Linked DNA regions of Coturnix japonica. The protein of the gene in region 2 binds, or shares a complex with, the protein of the main gene of each other region. Links are inferred from orthologs where the notes say so. Each region holds a gene or a part of one and is shown on either strand. Other genes may lie near its edges. The genes, in order: EXOSC10 and DIS3L.

What was found.
Region 1: DIS3L (region 2) and EXOSC10 share a complex: the UniProt entries of both Homo sapiens proteins name them as parts of the RNA exosome complex. The link is inferred for Coturnix japonica from reciprocal best matches to the Homo sapiens genes DIS3L and EXOSC10.

What each region holds. Positions count from the first base shown.
Region 1 is NC_029536.1:3,559,619-3,563,961, forward strand, and holds the start of EXOSC10 (exosome component 10), read right to left. Parts: upstream 2,983-4,343; 5' UTR 2,958-2,982; coding exon 2,796-2,957; intron 2,070-2,795; coding exon 1,933-2,069; intron 1,235-1,932; coding exon 1,111-1,234; intron 937-1,110; coding exon 832-936; intron 645-831; coding exon 479-644; intron 1-478. Other genes in the region: serine/threonine-protein kinase mTOR, read right to left, coding at 3,912-3,927. UniProt on the Homo sapiens protein: Catalytic component of the RNA exosome complex which has 3'->5' exoribonuclease activity and participates in a multitude of cellular RNA processing and degradation events.
Region 2 is NC_029525.1:16,731,539-16,734,843, reverse strand, and holds the end of DIS3L (DIS3-like exonuclease 1), read right to left. Parts: intron 2,982-3,305; coding exon 2,448-2,981; intron 2,356-2,447; coding exon 2,201-2,355; intron 2,096-2,200; coding exon 1,920-2,095; intron 1,687-1,919; coding exon 1,541-1,686; intron 1,276-1,540; coding exon 1,101-1,275; intron 1,026-1,100; coding exon 705-1,025; 3' UTR 545-704; downstream 1-544. UniProt on the Homo sapiens protein: Catalytic component of the RNA exosome complex which has 3'->5' exoribonuclease activity and participates in a multitude of cellular RNA processing and degradation events.

The DNA.
Region 1 (4,343 bases), on a different chromosome or scaffold from region 2:
CGTGCTCTAAACTACATCCACATCAGTGCAGACTCGAGGTGAATCAGCAGCAGAAATGTGACACCTTGCTGAGATGAGATGTTTCACTGGCAGCTTTGATAAAGGCAGATCTAATCGTGTATCTCCTTTTCTAACTTATTAGGAAAAGGTATCTGTAAAGTCAAGCAGACTTACAGACCAAGCAACAAAACTCCTCCTGCCAGGGGGACTCTCATGGAAATTCAATGGTGGCAAAGAGAAGCAGCAGAATATCTGTTGGGAACAGATTAGTTACTGTATACCAACAAAAAGATGTTGTATGCTGACCAAATCTTACACTGCACATACATAAACAATGGAGTCACAGAGCAATCTCATCCAAATAGTCAACATCTGCTCCTGCTTGCTTTTACAGTCAATATTTCCTCTTCTGGATTGTCAGGACAGATTTGTGTCAAACACTCTCAACTGATTACCCATCAACAACAAAAAAACTTACCTTCAGCCAATGGTTTCAAAGCATTTGGCTTGATAAAAAGCTTAGGTACAAAGGGAGTGTTGGAATTGTCAATCTTTTCTCGAAACTTAAGCTGTGGGCGAGAGATATTCTTGGCATGGAGCAGTCGGAAGGTTTCAGACTTAGATCTTTTGTGGTATTCTCCTGCCTATTAAAAAGAAAGCAAACCAACATGACTTAACAGACATCCAGAGCATCTTCCATTCACTGACCCCAGTACTGCGAGAAAAAGGAGGTGAGTGAGGACATATGAAAAAGTCCAAGGGAACATTTAACTACTAAAATCCACTGGCAAACTGCAGTACCAGTGCTGGGAAAAAGAGCAGCAGCCTCACCTTGCGGTTCCAGCTGGAAACGATCGTCTGTGGCACCTGCAACCCAGCAGGAAGGACAGGCTGCTGGTTTTTGTTCACTCCTGCTGCTTCATCCAGTAAAATACCCTAAATTCCAGGAAAAAAACAACAAAAATGAAAATCAAACACCCGCTCAGTTACTGTACTATGCTAAACATTAAACATAACTGCAAAAGCACTAACAGTAGAATTATTTTAACAAAAAGCACTTGTGGTACCTGAATACCTTATACAAGTAATGTTAAGGAATGATTTGCTCACCACTCTTTCAAGAATGATGTCATTGGAGTCAACCAGCATATCAAACTTATCTTCCAGCTCCGTGACTTTGCTGCGGTCTTTCATGTGGCTGCGGCAGCCGTGGTACTGCATCACCCTGCTCATGCTTGCAAGAGAACAGCACAGTTATTATGGATTTAAACAATAATAATAACAACAATAATAACAATTAACTGAACACTGAACCATGCAATTCTTCTCAACTTTCTACATCGCAGAAGTTTGAAAGCAGATCAAATGTAATACTTATAATAACATACAAAAAGCAAATGTATGAAACACCTACATGGTGCTAAGAGTTATTTAGTACTAATAGGACTGATTTCTTTATGAAACAACTTTCTAGATCACAGAACTGTTTGGGAGGGACCTTTAAAGGCATCAAGTCTAACTTTCTTGCAATGAACAAGGACACCCACAGCTCCATCAGGTGCTCAGAGCCCCTTCCAGCCTGACTTTGAGTGTGTCCACAGATGGAGCATCACCACCTCATTACTCTCACAGTAAAAAACCTTGTTATATCCAGTCTAAATCTCCCCTCTTTTAGTTTGAAACTCATTCCTCTTGTTCTATCAGATCTGTCCCCTTTTTTCTTATATACCCCTTTAGATACTAAACGGCTGTTCCCAGAGCATTTCACAACAGTCCCCACTCGCAGTTTGTTCCCATCAACACCATTAAAGGCAACTCAGCTAAAATTCGACACATGACCTAAAACATCCTTTTTACCACCAACCAGCCTGGAGATTCCATAGAATCCCCTGTCTGGGCCTGGCAGTTGCCGGGGCTGTGATGTCTCCTTACCATTGCAGCAGCCGATGTCCCTGAGCTGCACAGTACGCCCTGAACCCAGGGAAGCTGCGGTAGAAGTCGTACTCATCGCCAGGCTGGGGCAGCCCGCTGGATGCCTTCGTGGTGGCCACCATGGTGCCGAGGGCGTGCTGTGTGAGAACACCGTGTTAGTGCATTGCCTGCCCTGCTGCACACTGTGCTGACAAACCTCCATCCCTGTGTGTGTGCGAACAGTGCGGTTACATCCAACACATCGCAAGGCCTTGGTTTGTTTGGGTGTTTTTTAACACGACTAATCACAGAATCACACACAGAATCACAGAATGACCCGGGTTGGAAGGGACCTCAAGGATCATGTAGTTCCAACCCCCCTGCCTGGCAGGGCCACCAAACATACACCTTTACTAGATCAGGTTGCCCAGGGCCCCGTCCAACCTGGTCTTGAACACCTCCAAGGACGGGGCATCCACAACCTCCCTGGGCAGCCTGTTCCAGGGCCTAACCACTCTCCTAGTGAAGAACTTCCCCCTAACATCCAACCTAAATCTTCCCTCTTTTAACTTAAAACCATTTCCCCGTGTCCTGCTATTATCAGCCCTTTCCAAGAGTTTACTCCCCTCCTGGGAGTAAGTTCCCTTCAGGTATTGACTAAGTTGGCAGTTGTTTCATTCACACCATCTCATCAGGTTAAACAGAGTAAAGCGATAACAACACTACGCCTGTCGTGCCAGGATTTACGTTTAGAGAGAGGTTTATCAGCACAGACGCAGATCTGGGCTTTATTTCAATGCCAACCACATCACGGCACCGAGTGACCGCACGGCCCGGCGGGAGCTGTAGTGCACGGCCCCTTCCCGCTTCACCCCGCCCCGCACCTTCACGAAGGCGTCCACGTCGTCGAATCCCGGCAGCACCGTGGCCGTGCTCCCGTCTCTTTCCGTTTCCACGGGCGGTCCCCCCTGCCCCCCTTTGCCCCCTTGGGCCGCGCTGCTCCCCGCTACCGCGCAGCCGTTCCCCTCAGCCACGGCGGCGGCCATCTTGTCCCCTCAGCCACCAGACGCACGGAAACTCTCGCGAGAGCTTCAGGGCCGAGAGAGGAAGATGGGAGATGGGCAACGCATGCGGGCGGGTAGACAGTACCAAGCCTTATACATAGCGCCCCCTAGCGGCTGGCGGACCGCGCTGCATGCGACCCCCACCCACCCCAAGCGACCCCTCCTGCAACCTGTTACCTGCATCCCTGTCTCTTCCTAAGAGCTACTTAGGAACAAACAAGAACGCAGCCCCACGGTGCCACGTTTTGCTGTAATTTATTGGCACAAAAATATCCAAATACAACATGGCATCTAAACATGGCTACTCTGTTGTATTTTGTGCATTGTTTTTATTCATAATTCACGACTTCCTCCACTCCCATGTTATTATTATAACCATTATTTCATTTCAAGTTATGACCAGCTCTCCCCCTTTTGCCTCCTATGCCAGTTATCACGTTCCCCTTTTAATCTGCACACAGAGCTCCCCAGCGGTGTCTCATTGCACTGCTCGATCTGCACAGAGGCACCTGGTTATGGTCAGATGAAGGTCTGAAATTCTTAACATCTGCTCCAATATTCCATTCAGGGCAGCAATCCATCTGCAAATGATTCATTTACTTTGCAAAGTAATTCCAAACCCGTATATAGTTATATTTACCAGTTCCCCAAAGACCCAGTGGAACCATTGACACCTGCAGTACAATCAGTCTTCACTGTCCTTGGAAACCCAAATCAGCTATTGTGTTCCAGACAGCTCGTGTTTTTTTTCCAATAGCAGCTATAAATTGGCTTAAACCAACTTGTTAATATACAATAACTCTTTCCATTTACAGTTCAAACTATTTGACAAAGGCTGGATATCAGTCCAACGTTCAGTTTGTGTTTGTAGAAGAGCAAGTTTGGAGCGCAAAAGCCTCCAGAATAAAAAGGCTGTGGATACTTTGGGATCTTCTGTTACCAGAAAGGACACCTAAAAGGAAACAAAAATAGGGTGGTGATGCTCAGTGCAGCTTCACAAAGGCAGTGCTGAGAAGGACTGAGACTGCCAAGGCTCCGTTTAGAAGACATAGTATAGGAAATAGTATAGGAAAAGTTGGCAGGTGATCCCCCCACACACAGCTTAAATGCTTAAAACTAAGGACTGTTTCCTTAAGCATAGTCTGATGTTATCTCTCTCAAATGACAAATGTGCAACTAAATCATTTATGTTTGCTGCAGAATATGGAGATCTTCACTGTAACTGACATCAGTGACCAACATATGCCTTACTTCCAACACTAAGTGTTCAGGTTGACTGCAGCTTTAATGCTCTACATTCCCATTACTCCTTATCACAACTTACATTCTTACAACGGTCTGTCTAAGGGATCTCTGCCATAAGCCTGC
Region 2 (3,305 bases):
GTGCAAGTCATCGCACATTGTGTTTTGGCTTTGACTGAATTAGTCTCACTTTATCTGATCCTGTTTCCTGGCTTAAAGCTCTGTACTGTCACAGTACTGTCTTCTTCCTCTCTTATGCGATAGCTGCAGCAGTCCAGTGCACTCTTCTGCTCTGTAGAATGAATGTAGTTTCAAGGATGACAGCTGTGCCAGAGCCCTGAGAATGCCTTACCCAGCAGCATAGAGCAGACTTGCTCAGCCCTACCTGAGGCCCAACGTTGCACATAAGGCAGGTGAAACAAGTTCATGTCAGTGGGTTGTATATGATGCCAGTTGTGCAGCTGGGGAATTGTGCATAAGGGAGGTTCTGGGTTAGTGTGACTGAATTCATTTTGTGTGAACGTAGGTATGAGTTAAAACTCAATAGAGTGGAAAAGAACCACCAGTTGTACTAATTAGGATGATGGTAAAGCAATACTTTAGGTTTAAGAATGTAATGTATGGAGAACAAGGGTAAGCAGGCTTTTTTTCATTGAACGACAAACAAAAGGATTCTCAACACGGGTTTTAGTCTGGAAGGTAACATTTATCACATAAAAAATCTTTGTTGCGCATGCTCATGATCAGCTACAAAGAGATCTTATTTAAAACAGACAATTTATCTCATTAAAATGACTTCATTTTTAAAAATATACAAATTGTACAAAGTAACTGTAAGCAGAGCATCAACAACTACATGCATCAGCTGAGACATCTAATAGAGCCCAGTCCCTGATCTCCTCCAGCAGCTGGTACAAACTTGCTCCCTTTGTCTGGCAGTACTCCTGATACTCCGGACACTGTTCTTCAATTACTGCACTTCTTGCTTTTTCCTGGGCGCTCAGCGCTTCCGCAGACTGACTGACTGCTCTGACTAAGTCAGATTTCACCACGCCAAAATTCTTCTTGGAAATTTCTGTGGCTGAAGTCTGGAATGGGGCGTTCTTGATTATTTCAAGCTTGATTGTGTCAGCGTGGCAGCGGGAAGTCTGCACGAGTATCTTCACCTTAAAAGCAATTTAAAAATCATTTTATTGCTGACTATGCTATTTCCTTTTACTTTCTTCAAATTAAGTACTCACTGTGATGTGATCAAAGAGGCTTAATGTAACCGACTCTCCAGTGGTTGTAGTGGAAGTAATTCTATTCTGAAACCGCTGAAGTGATCCAGGCTTCCACTCACAGCTTCCCTCACCTTGACAAGACAGGACTAAGCCTTCCTTGTTTTTCATGTAAGCAGCACCTTTGATTCCATATCTACAAAAAAAAGCAGGTGTGTAGGCATGAGCATAGAAATCCTTCAGAAACCTTCTCGGTTACCTTGCTAATTTGAGCAATCCTTTCTCCATAGCGTCTCCTTTTCAGAATTAAAACATGGAAAAAACAATGTTCATGACTTACAGAAAATCTAAAATGCAGTCATCAGTCAGTGCTTCATTTCTCAAGGACCAGAGGTGACCTCGCAGCATTTCAGAAGCAAATGTCTGATTTTTAGTCTCAGTCCAAGCTCAAATCAACTTACCTTGGCACGAAAACAAGCACACCATTTGTTCGGATCGAGTAGATAACTCCATCTGCTACGCAGCGCTCATCTGTTTCTGGGCTTTTATCTTTGAAGTACATGCATTGGAAGAGTTCAGTAGACTGTTTCTGAGCATGCTGGGCTGCCTGCAGGCACCCCCCACAAAAAGAGAAGACAGAAGGACAGGTAAATATTCTCAGAAGCCTGTATGGCTTTGATATTATATATATTTTTTCCATTACTTATTCCCTAACCTGCTGAAAACAAATTGTATCTAGAAGGAGTGTTGCAATGCTGTAGTACCCAAAAGTCACAGCAGAGCGGTATCCTCTTTCCCTGGGTAACATGCAAACACAGACGCACACAGTGACCACCTTACCCTGTTCCTGTTGTTAATGTGTTTGCACAATTCCTCAAGATCCTTGTTACTGAATAATTTCTCCTTAACATCCTTAGTTTCCTTCAGAGTTGCTGCCATCAAGAGTCTGTGGACAACTATATCAGCGTATCTTCTGATAGGAGAAGTAAAATGAGTGTACTTATCTAAAGCGAGTCCTACAAATAAAAAAGGAAGCGATGAAAAGCAATCAGAGCATTCAGCTGCCCCACAGCAGTTCAGGAATAAGGGGAATTTTATAACAAATGAAAGTGTCAGGATACCATAATGATGAAACTCTTCCTCAGAACAAGAGCCAGTTGAGAAGTACAATGCATTTGACATTGCTTGAGTGGCCATAGATCGCAACAGCTTATTTACAATTGGATCCAATGGATCTTCCGCTTTATCCAGGGACTCAGCCAATGCTTTGTTAGACCTGTCAAAAAAGTGTTAATTTTATTCAGATTTATGTTACCCTGATCACAGTTAAAGTGTGTTAAAGTGCTTAAGAGAAGCAGTAAAAGATACCGTGTGTCTATTGAGAAACCTTTGGCGCTGGCACATTCTTGAAGGTCAGTAAAAAATTCCTGCCGTGGTGGAGGGTGTTGACGTAACAAAGCTTGATGAGGAAAGCTTTCTGAAATCTTTTTTGCCACCCAGTGGTTTGCAAGGATCATACATTCTGCTACAGTCTCGTGTACTTCCAGGGGCTGCTTGGGGATGAGATCATGAATGTTTTTTTTATCATCCAGTTGCACTCGGACTTCTACCCCTTCTAGTTCCAGAGCACCGCAGCTGTCCCGCTCAGCTCGAATGTGTCGTGCTATATCGGTGAGTTTTGATATCGCCCAAACCAGCTCAGACAATTTCTTCTCTCTTGTTTTTCCATCCAAGTCTTTCAGTTCCAGGATCTCATCAACAACACTTGTGTCCCCATCTAATAACCCCTGTGCTACTTCGTAGACTAGCTTGTATGCAGACCGAATGATGCTTTTGTTGTAGCAGACTTTCAGTATCTTGTACGATTCTCTTTCTAGTTCCCACAAGACGCTGACAGCGTACCTTAAAAATAAAACCCACAATTCTTTAAGCAGTTCTGGTTGACTCAACATTTCGAGCACATCCAACTGTTGCAAACTTACAGATTTCATTCTGTGCTGATTTTCTTTCCACATCTGTTTTGAAGCACCATTACACTGCAATAGTTTATTTCAGCTGTTTATGACCCCCTGCTACTTAGGTTACAAATAGTAACAATTCAGAGCCCATGCACACACAGTTACTCTGTGCCACGTGATGAAACATTTTTATTTCTGTGCATCCACAAAACAGGCATAGTCTAACTATGGAACAAAATTAATAACCTTTTTTTTTAGAGAAGTCGGT